Linked DNA regions of Diceros bicornis minor. The protein of the gene in region 1 interacts with the protein of each later gene in a pairwise test. Links are inferred from orthologs where the notes say so. Each region holds a gene or a part of one and is shown in the gene's direction. Other genes may lie near its edges.

The links. The genes of interacting proteins can lie anywhere in the genome.
Region 2: the proteins of BACH2 (region 1) and BATF3 interact in binary tests that used the Homo sapiens proteins (3 or more experiments, as listed by UniProt). The link is inferred for Diceros bicornis minor from reciprocal best matches to the Homo sapiens genes BACH2 and BATF3.

The regions. Positions count from the first base shown.
Region 1 is NC_080762.1:42,621,002-42,628,414, forward strand, and holds the start of BACH2 (transcription regulator protein BACH2), read left to right. Parts: upstream 1-4,413; 5' UTR 4,414-4,632; intron 4,633-7,413. UniProt on the Homo sapiens protein: Transcriptional regulator that acts as a repressor or activator. Binds to Maf recognition elements (MARE). Plays an important role in coordinating transcription activation and repression by MAFK.
Region 2 is NC_080743.1:78,305,303-78,313,200, reverse strand, and holds the start of BATF3 (basic leucine zipper transcriptional factor ATF-like 3), read left to right. Parts: upstream 1-4,889; 5' UTR 4,890-4,959; coding exon 4,960-5,037; intron 5,038-5,616; exon of another isoform or gene 5,617-7,421; coding exon of another isoform or gene 7,422-7,496; intron 7,497-7,778; coding exon 7,779-7,883; intron 7,884-7,898. UniProt on the Homo sapiens protein: AP-1 family transcription factor that controls the differentiation of CD8(+) thymic conventional dendritic cells in the immune system.

The DNA.
Region 1 (7,413 bases):
TTAAGTCAATGATGTGTTCTCACCTTATTCGACCCATCAGTAGCGTTGACACAGCTGATTACTCTCTGCTTCTCAAAACAGTCTCCTCCACTTGGCTTCCAGGATGCTACAATCCCTCTCCCCTTCTCTCTCACTGGCTGCTGTTTCTCAGCCACCTTGGCCAGATCTTTTTCATTTTCTTTCTCTTCTGACCTCCAAATGTTGGAGCGCCCCATGTCTCAATCCTCAGACCTCTTCTCTTCTCTACTCACGGTCCCAGATTCTATATGCTGATGACCCACAGATTTCTCCCTCCTGAAGTCTAGATTCTCATGTCTAATTGCCTACTCAACTTTCCCACCTAGATGGTGGATAGGCATCCAAAATTTACTATATTCAAACCCAAATACTTGAGCTTTCCTCCCATACCTGCTCCTTCTGTAGGATTCCCATCTCACTAAATGGGATCTCCATTATTCAGCTGTTCAGACTAAAATCCAGAATTTCCTTTGACTCCTCTTTCTCTCACATCCCACAGTTGAATCATCAATAAGTCCTATCTGGTTTACTTTGAATATATGTCTAGATTTCATTTATAGCTATCATTGTAGTCCAAATTACCATCACCTCTCTCTTGCCCTATCTCAGTAGCCTCCTACCTAGTCTCTGTGCTTCCACTCTTGTCCTCTCCTCCACTTGGTAAACAGAATGATCTTTTAGGAGTTGAGGCCAGGTCATGTCCTTTCTCTGCAGAAATCCCTATAAATGTCTTCCCATTGGACCTAAACTGTAAGTCTGCTGGCTATCCCTCTGGCACCATCTCCTGCTACCCTCCTTCCTGCTCTTCTGCATCAGGCATGGTGGCGTTTTTGCTGTCCCTGGAGCATGCCACATTTACTCTACCTCAGGGCCTTTGCACTTGCTCTTCTCCGTACCTGAAAAGCTTTTTTTCCCCAAGATAGCTGCAGAGCTTGCTCCCTCACTTCATTCATATCTCTGCTCAAATGTCCCCTCATCAGGGACACTATCTCTGACCCAACCACCCTAAGAATGGCCCCACCCCTATCACTCCTGAGCTCCTATACCTACTTTATTTGCTTTCATAGCACTCTTTACTCTCAGATATTATAACATACAACTTGACATTGATGTTTATTATATATAAAAATATATATATAAAAGCTCATTTTCTGTCTTCCTCCCCATCTCAATCTCACCACTAGAACGAGAATTCTACATCCCAGCTTGTAGAATAGTGCCTGCCTCAACAGTTGTTGAACAAGTCACCATTCAAAGCTACTCAAATTTCATCAGTTCTCCCAAGTGTCACCTGTGCAGTCTGAGCCGAGGTTTTATAGTTTAGATACACTTCAAAACATCTGGTTTTGAAATAATAAACCTTAGTCATAATTCTGAGCAATATGCCCAATGAGTAGAACTCAGTTTCTTCTTAACAGAACTTCTTTCAGTACACTGGCTTCAGCATTCTCCTTCTAAATATCTCACTTCGTTCTCGCTCAATGGATGTTAACTTTGTCCTGCTATATTTTATTCAAGGTGCCACATTTAAAATTCTGCCTACTGTTCTGCCCAAGAAAAACCATTATATCTTCTCAACATCATCAGATCCTATAAGAGGAGGCTGGAGAGCCAGAAAATCAAAACCTTGAGAACTGCTCACTTCTTTCTTCTGTCTTCCTTTGCTCATATTTTTGTTTCCCAGATATTTTAATTTTCTTATTTTATTTTATAAAATCAAGGAGATTTATAGAAATAAAGTTTACTGACTTCAGTGCTATGGTACAGTTATTGTCCCTGGAAATCACATCCTGCTTAGAAATGTATCCCAGATGAAGCCCATATTCTGGATCAGTGCACATGTAATTATGTAGGTAAAAAAAAGTATATCAGAAAAGGTTGAATGGTGCAGGCATGGGAAATAAATTGACCTCTACTCAGGTTACCGCCATGAATATACAGAGGGAAGGACCTGCATCTGTTTCACATTGTAACTGCCGAAGGGCCCAGAACAGCACCACAAACCCAGGGAACGGCCAGGAATCATTCACAACGAGGGTGGTGGCCATCCACAGCCTCACCTCTGCGGTAGTGCAGTTAGAACAGTGGCCAGTACCTGACTTACCATGCTATTTTCATACAATTCTGAGTATGTTTCCCAGGCTTTAATTCAAATAACCCACTTCTACCTACTGAAAATGAAATAAGTAACTCCCTACTAGACTTCAAGCTCCTTGAAGGCAAAGATTTTGTTTTATTCACAGCCATAAAGGCACATGGTTGCATACTGGACATGGCCTTAGAGGTCCGCTCGTTCTAATTCAACCTCCTTGAATGACTAGATAATACAACCAATCACAGTTGCATTAGATTTTTTTCATCTCTAATTGCTGTTCCATCTCATACTTGAGAATTTCAAACTAAAAAAGCTCCAGTCTGTCTTTGGCAAGTAGAAAGACTAACTGAAATGACCTAATAGCCTTTGTTACATCCATCTGGGACCAGAAGTAGGGGGAGATCAGCTTGCAGCAGCATCCCCTGCTCTTTGCTGTGCCCAACTCCGCCTCAGCTTGGCAGCCATGGCCTGCTTGAAAAGAAATGAATTTACACGACCCTCACAGGGATCTCCTCAAGCCTGGCTCTTGAGAGAAAAACATTTATTGGTGCTATTAAGACGCATAAAGTTATCGCATTGACACTCACGCTTACAAGATTAAGGAATGCGGAAACATCACCATCCATAAGACGATAAGAAATAGCCCTGCCAGGGCAGACCAGGGATCAGTATCCTCTGTCATTGCCAGGGGGCCAGGCAGGGACCTCAGAAGCAGGCTGTTTTGTCAAAAAGGGCACCAGACCCAAAGTCAGAAGAGCAAGGACTGTTCCTATCTCTGAGACTTCTCATCTGAAAACCGGAGAGGCTAGCAAAGAAAAACTCCCAGTGTGGTTCTAGACCTACACATCGACGCACTGCAATGCTGTTAGGAAAGTCACTCGACCCCTTCAGCTTCCTTTCTGCCATCTCTTAGCTTTCCACACAGACATTCAAAATGGGGCCTTTTAAAACTCTGCCCTGGAACGAAGGTGGTTCAGAGCAACACTTTGGCTGATATCACAAGACTCCCAGGGCAACGCTTCACTGCTTTCTCAGCATATGCCAGTGCCCATTTTGCAGGGGGATTTATGATCCTTCTCTCAGTAGAGCGAGCCAAAGTTTTATAATATTCATTAAAAATCAGCACCACATGTAATAATATGGAATACTGCCTGTACACAAGGGGGCCAAGTTATAGGTGTTCAGGGAGACATGGCAGAATTTCCTGGCCTTGGCGGGGGTAAAGTTGCAGGCACCAGCACTACACTAACACAACCTTCTTTTATTGCAAATGTTCGTTCAGTCTAAGTCCTAATTCCTTTCTTTAAAATCCTAACCACCATCGAGATCTTTTCTGACAGGGCAGCCACAGGATGGCTTTAAAGGCAGCAGCAACACCCTGGCCGCCTCCAGAGGGAGAGGCTGGAACCCAGTAGGAGCGGGGCTGAACCTGGGAGGTAGGCTTTTCATGTACGTTTCACAATTACTCGAGTCACTTCTAAAACCCTGGCGTGAGGGCTCAGAGGCTCTCTCGGCGGGACAGGCCGAGGACAGGCCGGGAAAGGATTCAAACACCAACACTGGTATTGGGTGGGGAGCTACTCTTCCTTGCCCCACCCCCACCCAAGACGGGCCACGGTCAGCTTTGCGGCGGCCCAAGGAGCATCTTTTCCTGCTCCTCCTGGGAAACGCTAGACAACCCAGGAATCCCAGGCTTCGAAGTCCTGCTCCCCTTCCTGGACGTAGTGCCCTGGGCTCTGCCCCGTTCCCCACGTGCCACACCAGCTCTCACCACTCCCCCCCGCCCCACTAGCCCCCAGCCCTCGTCTTTCAAGGCCCCTGCGAGACCCGTGCAAGGCCGGCCCCCGCCAGGCTGTGAGCGCGGCCCGGAGCAGGCTGCCCTCCCAGCCGCGCGGCCGCACAAAGCGGGCAGAGCGGCGGCGGCGGCGGCGTGAGGCGCGCCCCCTCCCGCGAGTCGGCGGAGCGCGCGCCCGCCCCCCGCCCCAGCGCCCGGCGCGCCATTCGCGGAGCGGCTTACGCTAGTCGCCGGGCGTACGGCGCCCCAGCGGCCGGGGAGGTGCGCTGCCCGGCTCCCGTAAAGTTATTGTGAATGGGGAGTGGGTGACGTCAGCGCCGAATGTCAACAATGTAGCGATTGAGAGTGTGGGCGTTCCGGGGAGAGCGCGAGCCGCGCGGCGAGGAGCAACCAGCGCCGAGCAGCCGCCGCCTCAGCAGCAGCAGCAGCAGCAGCAGCGACCGTGCACGCCGGGGCTGCGCTCGCCGCCGCCCTCGCCACCCCGCCTGCCCACTCCCGCCGCCGCCGCCGGGCTCTCGCTTTCTCCTCGGCCTGCCCTCGACCCGTCCCCTCCCCCTCCTCGGCACACTCAGGGGGCTGGGAACCGGCTGCCATGTGATGCGCGTCCTCTCCGCGAGCTTTCGGTGACCCCCGAACCGCCCACCGCGCCGGCTGCCGGGAGGGGCTGCGGGCTGGGAAGACGCGGGGAAGAGGAGGCGGAAAAGGACGCAAACTTCTCGGCGAGGTGAGTCCCCGGCCCCGGGCCCCGGCGCCGGGCGGGGCGGCGGGGCAAGTTTGCGGGGGGCGCGGGGCAGGCGGGGAGGCGTGGGGAAGCGGAGCGGCAAGGGAGCCGCGGCTGCCCGGTGCGCAGCCGCCAGCCGAGCGCCCTGGCCGCTGTTATGGCATTTTCTAGGAACGGGAAGGGGGTGGGAGCCGAGCCGGCCGACGCGCCGCGGCGAATGTGCGCTCTCTCGCCTGGCTGTTTACAGCGGCGAGGCGGCAGTGTATTTTGCTCGCGTCGACGGGTGTTTTGGAACAGCAGGGGGAGGAGGAGCAGAGGGTAATAAGTCAGGCGTGGGGAGGGCGGGCTGGAGGGAGGCGCGTGTCCGCGCGAGCCGGCGCAGCTGTCAGACCCACGGCCCTGCTCCCGGACCCGCGAGACCCGGGCGCCCCGGTCCCCGCGATCCCCGCGCCAGGCCGGGCGGCCTCCTCCCTGCCCGCGGCGTCCGCGCCCGGGGCTGCTCCACTAGGGCCGCGGCCGCCGCGCCTTTGCGCTCAGCTGTCAGTCGCCGCCGGGTAGCCGGGACCACCGCTACTGGCGGGGCATCAGAGCCCAAGTTCAGGGTCCCAGGAAGAGGCAGGCTGGGGGCCTCGCAGCGCGGACCTCGGGTTGCGCGCTGGGTGGAATCCCCACTAGCCAATGACCGAGTTATCGGAATGCGTCCCTGGGAGCTCAAACCGAAGGACTCACGCGTTCAGAGAGGGAAACCTTGCACTTCCCTCCCCACAGGAGTCTGCATGAAATCAAAGTGCAATACACACATATGCACACACCCTGTTTTCCCTCCCCACACTTCAGTCTCCAAGCCCCAGAAGCTCCACTTTCGGGGGGAGTTTATCCAGGCGACACCTCCACCTCTCCACTTCCCCATGCCGAGGCGCCCTGTGAGTCTCGCAGTTCTCTCGCCCGTGGGTACTCAGGAGCCCAGCGCCGATGGAGAGGGCGGCGGGCGGCGCTCATGGACTACCCCAGCTGCCCGCGAGAGGGGACTCGAGTGAGCATCTCGGCGACCTCGGTCTGGCCGACGATTTGCAGAAACTCGGACCGTGGAAGGAACGGGGAGGGCCGGGTGTATGTGTGTGAAAGGGACCGGGCAACCCTGGATTCGGGGGTCATGGGCGCTCGGGGTATCCCCAGCGCCCTCTCGAGTGTAGGCGAGTTTGACAACTTGGGGGAAGTTCCGGCGCAGCCGCTGTCCTGATGGTTTTGTCTGTGGCCCGAGAAGGTGCGCCTCACAGCTCGCCCGCCGGGTCACCGCGGTCGCCGCGATCCGTGGCCCCTGGGAAACGAGAGGGATGAGGGCGCCCCACCCCCGACGGAGCCGCAGACTCCCGGCGCGGGTGGCGAGACGCGGCGTTCCTCGGTTTTCACCTTCGCCGTCTAGTGCTGCAGTCTCTCACTCTGTGTAGATTTCATCTGTTGAGTGTATTTAACTAAAAAGGGTAATTACTTTAGATAAAAATCCTTTCCTGCCTAGTGGGAACCTTGGCGGAGATAATGCCTAATGAGATATTTTGCTTTTGTCTGTTTAGAGTAAAATTAGAGATGTTAACTCTGATAACGGTTTTCTCAGATCATTAAAATGTAACATGTAGGAAAGGCATGTCGAGCTGCGAAGGCTCTGGCTGACATGAAAGAAGCTGAGCGTGAAAGGCTGCCACTCTTTCGGTGGAAAGGGCTATTTTGGTAAGGCAGCCGGCGTCTCGCTTAAAATGCGAGATTGCCCCACCCTGTAGCCCCCTCCAGCAGCTCTCGAGTAAACGGCATTTTTCATTCTTGCAGGTAATAATAAAAGTGAGTCAAAATGACATCTTGTTAGAATTAGTCTTTAGTCTGTAAGAGCGATCGCTAAATTACAGCGTTGCATTCAAACTGCTGCAGTGAAAGGTCTGTCAGCATTTCCATTATAAAATCAGTTTTTCAGGAGTTTATCATTTCACCGCAAAACTTTGAGTGGCTGAAATGTTTTTCCCTTCTAGTATTCTGGTTTAAAAAAAATGCATCGATTGCCCACTTCCATCCTATTTGCTGTACCTGAAACCTGAATATCATTCAAATGAGGGTCCCAGAAATGGAATACACCAACCATGGAATAAAGTACTTTTGTTAGAGCATACGTTATTTGTGCAGAGCAATATTTTCATTTCGGATTTTGAAAGGCTTTAGCTTTGCCATTTGGAAATCGTAAATGTGTTGAGTTAATTCTTCTGGTGTATGTCGATTCTGCAGGTGGATTGAAATGTCAATTCGTATTGTATATGCCAGGATTATATGTATGGAAAAACATTCTCCTCATGTGAGTGTATGTCTGAACTCTTAGCTAAATTATGAAGGCACATGTTAGTTACTTGTCAGTTCTTTGTATGTTCCATGTGAGGATCTGCCATAGAGAAGAAGGAATAAGGCGAAAGAGAAGGAGGGAATCAGGACCCCCCTAATTCACTTTTCAGTATTACTAGTGCCTGGGAGGAAGCCATTTATTCTCTATTGAATTATGCCTTCGACTCAGTGTCTTCAGGCAAGTCCCTTCCAGTTGCTCACCTCTGGCTGCTGTGCGAGGGGCTTAATTGTTTGCAAACTGCCTTGAAGTCCCTGGATGAAAGGCACTGCAAGAGTGCAAAGTATTGTTATTCAGATATGGAATTTAATGATCCATTACAGTTCCTCAGGAAAATGTACTCTGCAGTGATGGTAGGAAACGTTTCCACCTGATCAAGGGTAATAATAACTGCTTAAAAGTAGGTT
Region 2 (7,898 bases), on another chromosome or scaffold:
AACATTGCTTCTCTTCTGCCACCCACATAGATTTGGTGGCTGGCAGTGTAGGAATGTTCATGTCTCAGTACAATGTACCTTGTCAGGTGAGTTAGCACAGTGGACAGTAGGAATATTCCTGGAAGCCATATAACTAGCAGTAATATGACTCTAGACAGAAATGATTACAAACCACATACATATATCCCAATATATAATATATCTCTGAACAAACCTTCCTTCCCAAGGTCCCCCAAATGCCCACAGCCACTTCAACATCACCAGACATGAAGGGACTGGGGGGAAGTCGCGGTGAAAAGAGACAGTGGTCTTAACCATTTACGCTTAAAATATCCCACTTTTGCAAATTTTATTACAACCTATCACCACGTGAACTCTTTGCTAGGGCCCCTCTAGGCCTTGGAAGGGGTCGGTGCAAGTGAGGGGCCTCGAGGCTTCTGATCATTGACTTCCTGGCAAATTTGCCTCAGCCTCTATCGCTGTCAACATCTTCCAAACCCTCACTCCTGTTTCTTCCTCACCCTTTCAGTCTGTCCTTTACACAGTGCCCAAAGTGATCCTGTAAAAACTTAAGTCAGGTCACGTCACACCTCTGCTCAAAAGCCTGCAATGTTCTCCCATCTCACTTTGAGTAAAAGCCAATAATAGTTCAGATGGCTCTGCAGGACCTGGCCCTTTGCCTTCTGATCTCACCTCTAGGTATCCAGCCCTTCTTCACTCCGCTCCAGCCATATGAGTCTCCTGCAGTTTTTGGAGTGGCTAGGCACACTCCCCTGGGGCTCTTGCATTTGCTGTTCTTGCAGCCTGGACCATTGCTCCTGGACTGTTCACATGACTCCCTCTCTCACCTCCTTCAGGTAAAGCTTGCTTGACCTCCCTATTTAAAATTGCACTCTGCTTTCCCCTCTACTACTCTCTATTTCTCGCCCCTGCTTTATATTTCTCCATATCATCATCTAAATACTTTTGCCTATCGTCTGTCTCCCTCCTCTAGAATGTGAGCTCCAGGAGGTGCGGATCTGCAGCATCCCAGTGCCTAGAACAGTGCCTGAGACAATGCCAGACTGTAGCAAACGCAGGGGTCTCTGCCTTAAACTTTCCTTTCTCTAGCCCCAGCAGAAGCCCACAGGACCACCTCCTGAGAAAGAGCAGTATAAGTGCCCTTCCTGGAAGGCCAGTTTCCCTAAAAGAAAAAAATAAAGGTGAAATAGCGGCAAGGTTTCTAGCATTTGAGCAACACGTTTTTATAAATAACCGTCTTCTTGTGAAGTGAATCATCAGAGGATTTGATCACTGAGCTATAAACCTCCTACACCTCCTCTCCCTGCCTCCAAAGATGTAATCCAGGGTCATTGCGGTAGTAATAGGAAATTGCCAAATCCTCTAATATAATTTCTCTTCCCAGTTCAAAGGAAAAAAATACAAATAAAAAGATAAGTAGAAGAAGAAAAGAAGACATTTGGAATGTTTGTTCTTGCTTATCTTTTCTTCATTTTCATTTTTCTTCCTCCTTTGACTTAAGGAGAATAAAATGAGCCAGCAAATATTACAAAAAAGTAGAAAACAGGCTGTTATTAGAGCATCCTACTTGGTCAGAGAGGTGCTGGCATTCTGGTGTGACAAACGAGCTCAGTGCCAGGGAAGGCAATATCACTTGTAAATATAAAATGTTTTAACATTATAAAACAATTTTTCAAAAAGTTTAAAAAGACAAGCAAAAGTAATTACTTATAATCCCACCACCAAGACAAAGAAGCTAGCCCTTTTGTGGATTCTTTTCCAATTTTTTCTCATATGCACACACTTTTTCATTGTGGTATAAAAAACACAACATAAAATTTACCATCTTAACCATTTTTAAGTGTGCAGTACAGTAATGTTATGCACAAATTTTTATACATGTTATACTTGTACTTTTTGTATCCTGATTTTTTTCTCACTTTGCTTCATATTAAATAAATCTTCCATGTGGCAAATTTGTCTGCCATATAATTTTAAAGATTCATAATATTCTACCCCATGGCTATAACATATTTTATTTAGCCATTCACCTATAATTGGAAATTTATGTTGCTTAAAATTTTTCACTCAAAAATATTATTATGAACTTTTAATGCATACAGTATTTTTTTCTCTTTAGTATTTTCAATGATCTTCCTAGGATGACTTTCTGGAAGTTTTCTAGGGAAAACTCAGTAAAACGTGATTAGTCTTGCATGGTTCTTGAAAGTTACAATAAAATTGCTTTCCATTAGGTTTGTACCAACTTACAATGATGCCAGTGAAATATGAGAGTATTAATTTCACCATACTCTCACCAGCATTTGATACAACTTTTTATTTTGCTAATTTAATATTTTAAAACGTTTCTTATTTTAATATGTATTTTTCCTCTATTTATTTTCCTTGATTATTTCCTCTGTTGGGAAATGCCAGTTCATGTCACTTGTTCAGTTTACCTTTGGGAGATTGTCTCAATATTTTTCTTATTCCTTTTCATGGGCTTATATATAATAGAGATTTTAACTCTTTGTCGTATTTACTGTGAATATTTTTCCCAATCTATACATTTTTAATTTCTGGTCATACTGTCATCTAAAACAATTTAAGATTCTTTTTAAATTCAGATCTTTCCAATGTGATTTCTTCTATGACATGCCATCTTAGAAAATTCTATCCATTTTGTCTTATCCCCGGGCTTGAATAAAGGATTTAATTCTGCTTTATCTCCCTAATTTTATTTTCTATGTCTAATTATTTAATCCATTCACTTTGATGTATGCTATGTAGGTCAAACTGATCTGTTCCTTAAATGGTAACTAGCTAACCAAGGCTCTTCCTTTAAATATATTTGAAGAAACCCTTGAATAACTAAGACAGTAGGCCAATGCCTATATGAAGAGTTCTTGTGTGTTGGGGCGAGGGTTCAGGCTCCCTGAGGAGTGAGGTGGAAGGTACAGCCCCAGAGGACTTGGAATGCGGTGTGGCTCAGTGAGAACAGGAAAGTAGCAATAACCAAAATGCGGTGTGGGAGTGCACCTAAATGTCCGCTGTGTTTTTACCTTGCCCTTTCCACTCATAAACAACATTGCAGAGGGAAAGCACTTCTGAAAATTCAAGACTACCTGACCCAGAGGTCTCTCTATCTTGTTAAGAGTCCTGTTAAGTTTCCAAGAATGAGGGCTATCAGTCGACCTGCTGCAATAAATTTACTGAGCACTTGTGTGTGGAGCGCTGTGCTGGGCACATAGGGGTGCCTGCGTGGCCCCGCGGGCAACCAAGAGTTATGTTGAGTGATGAAAAGGACAAGAGAGATGAGAAGAGAAATCTAGGCAGATAACCGAGTGTAGAGATAGCTCCGCTGTGCAGCGTTGGCGGCGTGGGGTACGGCACTGTCGCTTAAAGTGCTGCGCCCACCCTCTGTCCTCCGGCTGCCTAGAACCTGCACTCTCCTCTCGGTTGTCTGGCTGAAGCCCCTGCTCACACAGACAAGAATCTCCACTTGCTTTCCTGCCCTCTGCCCGGCAGCCAAGTTCACGCAAGCTGCTTTTCAAAGGTTTTGCTAGGGTCTTAAATCTTGGCAGAGAGCCACGTGCACTAGACTGGGAGTCCGAAGTGCCCGAGCCGCATCCCCGCTGCTGCCCGCGAGCCTGAAGTCTTAAGCGACCGCACTCGAAAGGCACGTCTGATCTCCTGGTCTTGGTTCTCACCCTCCCACCCAGGTTCGCGGTTATCTTTCTTTGCCCGTGTTCACAGTATGCAGACCACAAACCCGTAACCGCTCGTTGCTTCTTTGCTGGGACCACGTAACAATACTGCTTGACTTTGCATCTTGTAACTGACAGGTAGGTGGACAGGAAAGCGCAGTCCCTTCAACCCGTCCCCAGTTTGGCGTGAAGTCACGCATCTGCCACTTGAATCTTGAAAAACAGAAAGGATCTGGCCCCTTTAACATTAGCATGGCGAGTCCAGATTCCCGAACCCGTCAATAGTGACTTGCACCGTGGCAGATTCGCTCTCAGGGAAGCCCGGTCACTGTTTCTCTCCCGGACAACCTCCTCCTCCCCACCCTCCACCGAGGGAATTCACCCTGGGGGCCCCAGGGTGCTCCCACCTTGCTCCCTCCCACAGCCCCGCGGGACTGGTGAAGGCAGAGCAGGTGCTCCCCGCAGAAAGGCCCCGGGGCGCCCGTGGCTCTCAGGGTGCGCAGTGGGACTCGGTAAAGCCGGCTGCCCCCTGCCCTGGCCTGAGCCTCCCGGGCGGGAAGACCGAGGGCCTCGGAAGGAGTGAGAGTGGCGCCGGGATGACTGATCCGCGCGGAGAAAGTCCCCCGAAACTGTGACCCCTGCGCTGGGGGGAGGCGGGGCTGATGCTCAGGAAGATGCCGTGATGGGACCGGGGGAAAAACCACCAACCCCAAACCACCCACTTGTGTTTCTCAAGCTGAGTTCTCCGAGAGCGGCTGAAAGACCCCAAAAGTTGCGCCGCGCCTCCCGGACCTGCGCCCGCCCCAGCGTCGCCTCTTGTGGGTGGGCTTCACGTTGCCTCCAGGGTTTCGGAGCCACCACGTGACTTCCACGAAGAGAGGGGCCCCAGCGGAAAGCCGCGACAGGGGTGGGATTTGGGACCCCGAAGTGCGGCGAAAGGGCGGGGAGAGGAGGAAATGAGGCGGAGGTGGGAGAAGGAGGGGGCGGGGCAGACTTGGGGACGGGAAGGACGGCGGGCCGGGACCGGGGGGTGGGGAAACCCGGGCGACGCGCAGCGGCCGCGCGAGCCGGGAGAGCGGGAAGCCCGGGGGCGGGGCGGAGGGCCGGCGGCCAGCAGGTGCGGGGGCGCGAGGATGCGGGTGGCGGGCGAGCGCCGGTAGGCAGCGCCCCGCGTGCAGGGCGCGGCGGGCCGCGCGGCCGCTCCTCCGCGAGGCTGCGCGGCGGGGCGGGCCGGGCCGGAGGAGCGCCCGGCATGTCGCAAGGGCCCCCGGCCGCCGGCAGCGTCCTGCAGAGGAGCGTCGCGGCACCCGGGAACCAGCCGCAGCCGCAGGTAGTGAACTAGAAGCCCCAGGAGGACCGCAGGGATGAGAGGGTGGGGGTGCCGGGGGGCGCGAGGAGCTGGGCGCTGGGTTCCCGGGTGGTGATTGCTGAGTGCCGGGGTGGAGGGCGCTGCGGGAGCCAGAGACCAGAGGGAGTGGGGGCCCGAAGGCGGTCCAGGAGCCCGGGCGTGCGTCTCTGCCGGTCCGACCCGGGCGCACGCACAGTGCCCGCGGCGTCCGGGATGGTGAACCAGCTCCTGCGCCCGGGGACGAGGAGAGACCGGAGGGCGCCGACGCCTGGCGGGGCCGGGCCCGGTCCACGCTCCCCGGCACGTGTTGTCCGCGTTGCCCCGGGTGTCTCGCCATCCTTGCGCCGCCGCCTGCTGCCATCCCACCGTCGGCGCGCGTGGCCCTTCCGGCCGCTCCGAGGCGGGGGGGCCAGGGCGCGGAGAGGGGAAATTCAGCCCGAAGGAGCGGCTGGTGCCCAGGCGCTCCCGACATCTACCCTCCTCCGACTGCCGGCCGAATGGGGAACTCGGGAGCGATCAGCCTGGGGGTGCGGGGTGGGGGCCCGCAGTTGGCAGATTCCACCCCTCCGCTGGTGGAAACCCCTCGCCCGCATCCAGTCCCGCGCTGTCCCGGCAACATTTCCAACTGCGTACTCTGAGACAATGTTGCCCGCAGGAACGGCCGTCCGAGAACTTCCCGCTCAGGTTCTTCAGGACTGAGTCTTTTCGTCGTTATGCCCCTCTTCCCAGTTCGGTGCCTGGCCCGTAGTGTCATCGGGTGACGCTAGAGAGTCACACGGATCGGAGTTTGGGCCTCGAATTTGCCACACACAGACTGAGTAGCCTTAGGCAACTTGCTTAACTTCTCCAAGCCTCAGTTTCCCTACCTGTAAAATGCATATAATAATCTCAACCTCTCATGATTTTTATGAGAACTAATTGAGATATGGTTAATAATATGTTAATCCCCACTTCCTGTCTTGATTAAACGTTTCTGCTGGGCTGTCGGGGGGACCATGTGATAGGTGATCAATCCAGTTTAGCGTCAGCTCCCAGAGGGCAGCATGCAGCCTGCTTCGTTGTGCCCTGTGACTTTCTGATTATGAACAGAGAGGCATGATTTGGTGACAGGCACTGTGGGGGACTGGTTAAAAAGTAGCAGCAACCTCAACAGACGTTATTGAGGGCACACAGGGTGCTAGGAGCTAGGATGAATTCGCCTTTTCTCTTCTGCCAGCCCCAAGCATTAGGCTTTTAGAATGATGGCTGCAGAGATTACTGACTGTTTGTTCAGGGCGTGGATCTCCCGTGCCCAGGACAGTCCCCTGGCACATGGCAGGAACTCAGTTAATACTTATTGAAAGAATGAATGAATCACACAATAAATGAGAAAACTGAAAATTCAGAGAATTTAAGCCATGTCCCCAAGGCCAAGTTGACAGTAAGAGACAAAACCAGAAGCATGCATTTCTACACTAAAGTTCTGTCCTCGACACCACATTTCCCCTCTGTGGTCTTCTTCTGGTTGTGTTTACCAAGACCTCTTTGCCTCTAAAAGACTATGTTTTAACACCTTGTCTGTTTCCTTGAACACTGTCTCCAGGCCTCTTCTATGTGTTATATTATTTCTGTATATGGTATTCATTCTCCTTTTATCGCTTTATATTCTTGGATATGCTGAAAATTCTTTACCGGGCTGTAACTCGGGGAGATGATATTTGTCCCTCTTGTTTGGAATATGAGACTAGATAAAATGATAACTGAAAATATCCATTGTTTTATGTTATCTGATTTGCTTTCCATTAATATTAATAATTGAGTGGCTTTCCTGTGTTTGTATCCCACTAACCTCTGGGCTTTTAAACTCTTTAAAGGTAGTATTTCTACCCCCCACTCCTTAGTATCTTCTCACAGGGTTCTGGAAGCAAATACTGCTTTACTTCTCCATGTTTTCTATAACTGAATGGAGTGTTTTTACCATGGTAGGTGCATTTTTCTGCCGGCCTGTTTCAGGATAACTCTTGAAGGATTTGACTAGGTTTGGTTAAATCTCTTATATAGCCAAGAACTTTCAAGACACATCATAAATGTGCTTTCTGATTTGCTCTGACCTGTGAAAGAAAATGTTAGTCAAGCGTTGTTCAAATGAGCATATTGCCTGTAGTGTTTCAGATCATTTGAGGTGTTGATAGAGTGATGGGGTTGCAATTAGTTGTGTGTCATCACGATTTGCACACCATATCAAGAGTACCTGTTTGTGTATGGTAATAGAAGGCCTGGCACATAACAAGTTCCACATCGCAGATGCCTTCTGCCTTTCCCCTTCTCAGATGAACAACGTTGACACCACAACTCTTCCAGGCTCACGCCCTGTGGGGTAGAGGTTTATGAACGTTGGTTTGGAGTCCAACAGACCTGAGTTCCACTTCCCATTCACCCACTTACTAGCTGTGATACCTGGAGTAAGTTCCTAACGTCTCTGAGTTTCTTATTCCTCATCTTTTAAATGGCGGTCACACCACACACTCTCAAGGTGGTCATGGGGATTAACAGCTGAGCACAGCCATGGCACATGGTGAATGCTCCATAACAAGGGGCTCCTGTTCTCCTACTGGTGTAGCAACGAGCACCTGTGACTGCAAATAAGATGGTGAAGCTCGATGAGCAACGCTGAGTGAAGAGAGGGCAGAGAAGGGTGAGGCGAGGGTCCTCAGCGTCACACCTGACCAAACACTTTCCCCCAGAGCCCTGAGGATGATGACAGGAAGGTCCGAAGGAGAGAAAAAAACCGAGTTGCTGCTCAGAGAAGTCGGAAGAAGCAGACCCAGAAGGCCGACAAACTCCACGAGGTGAGACTGTAGTTG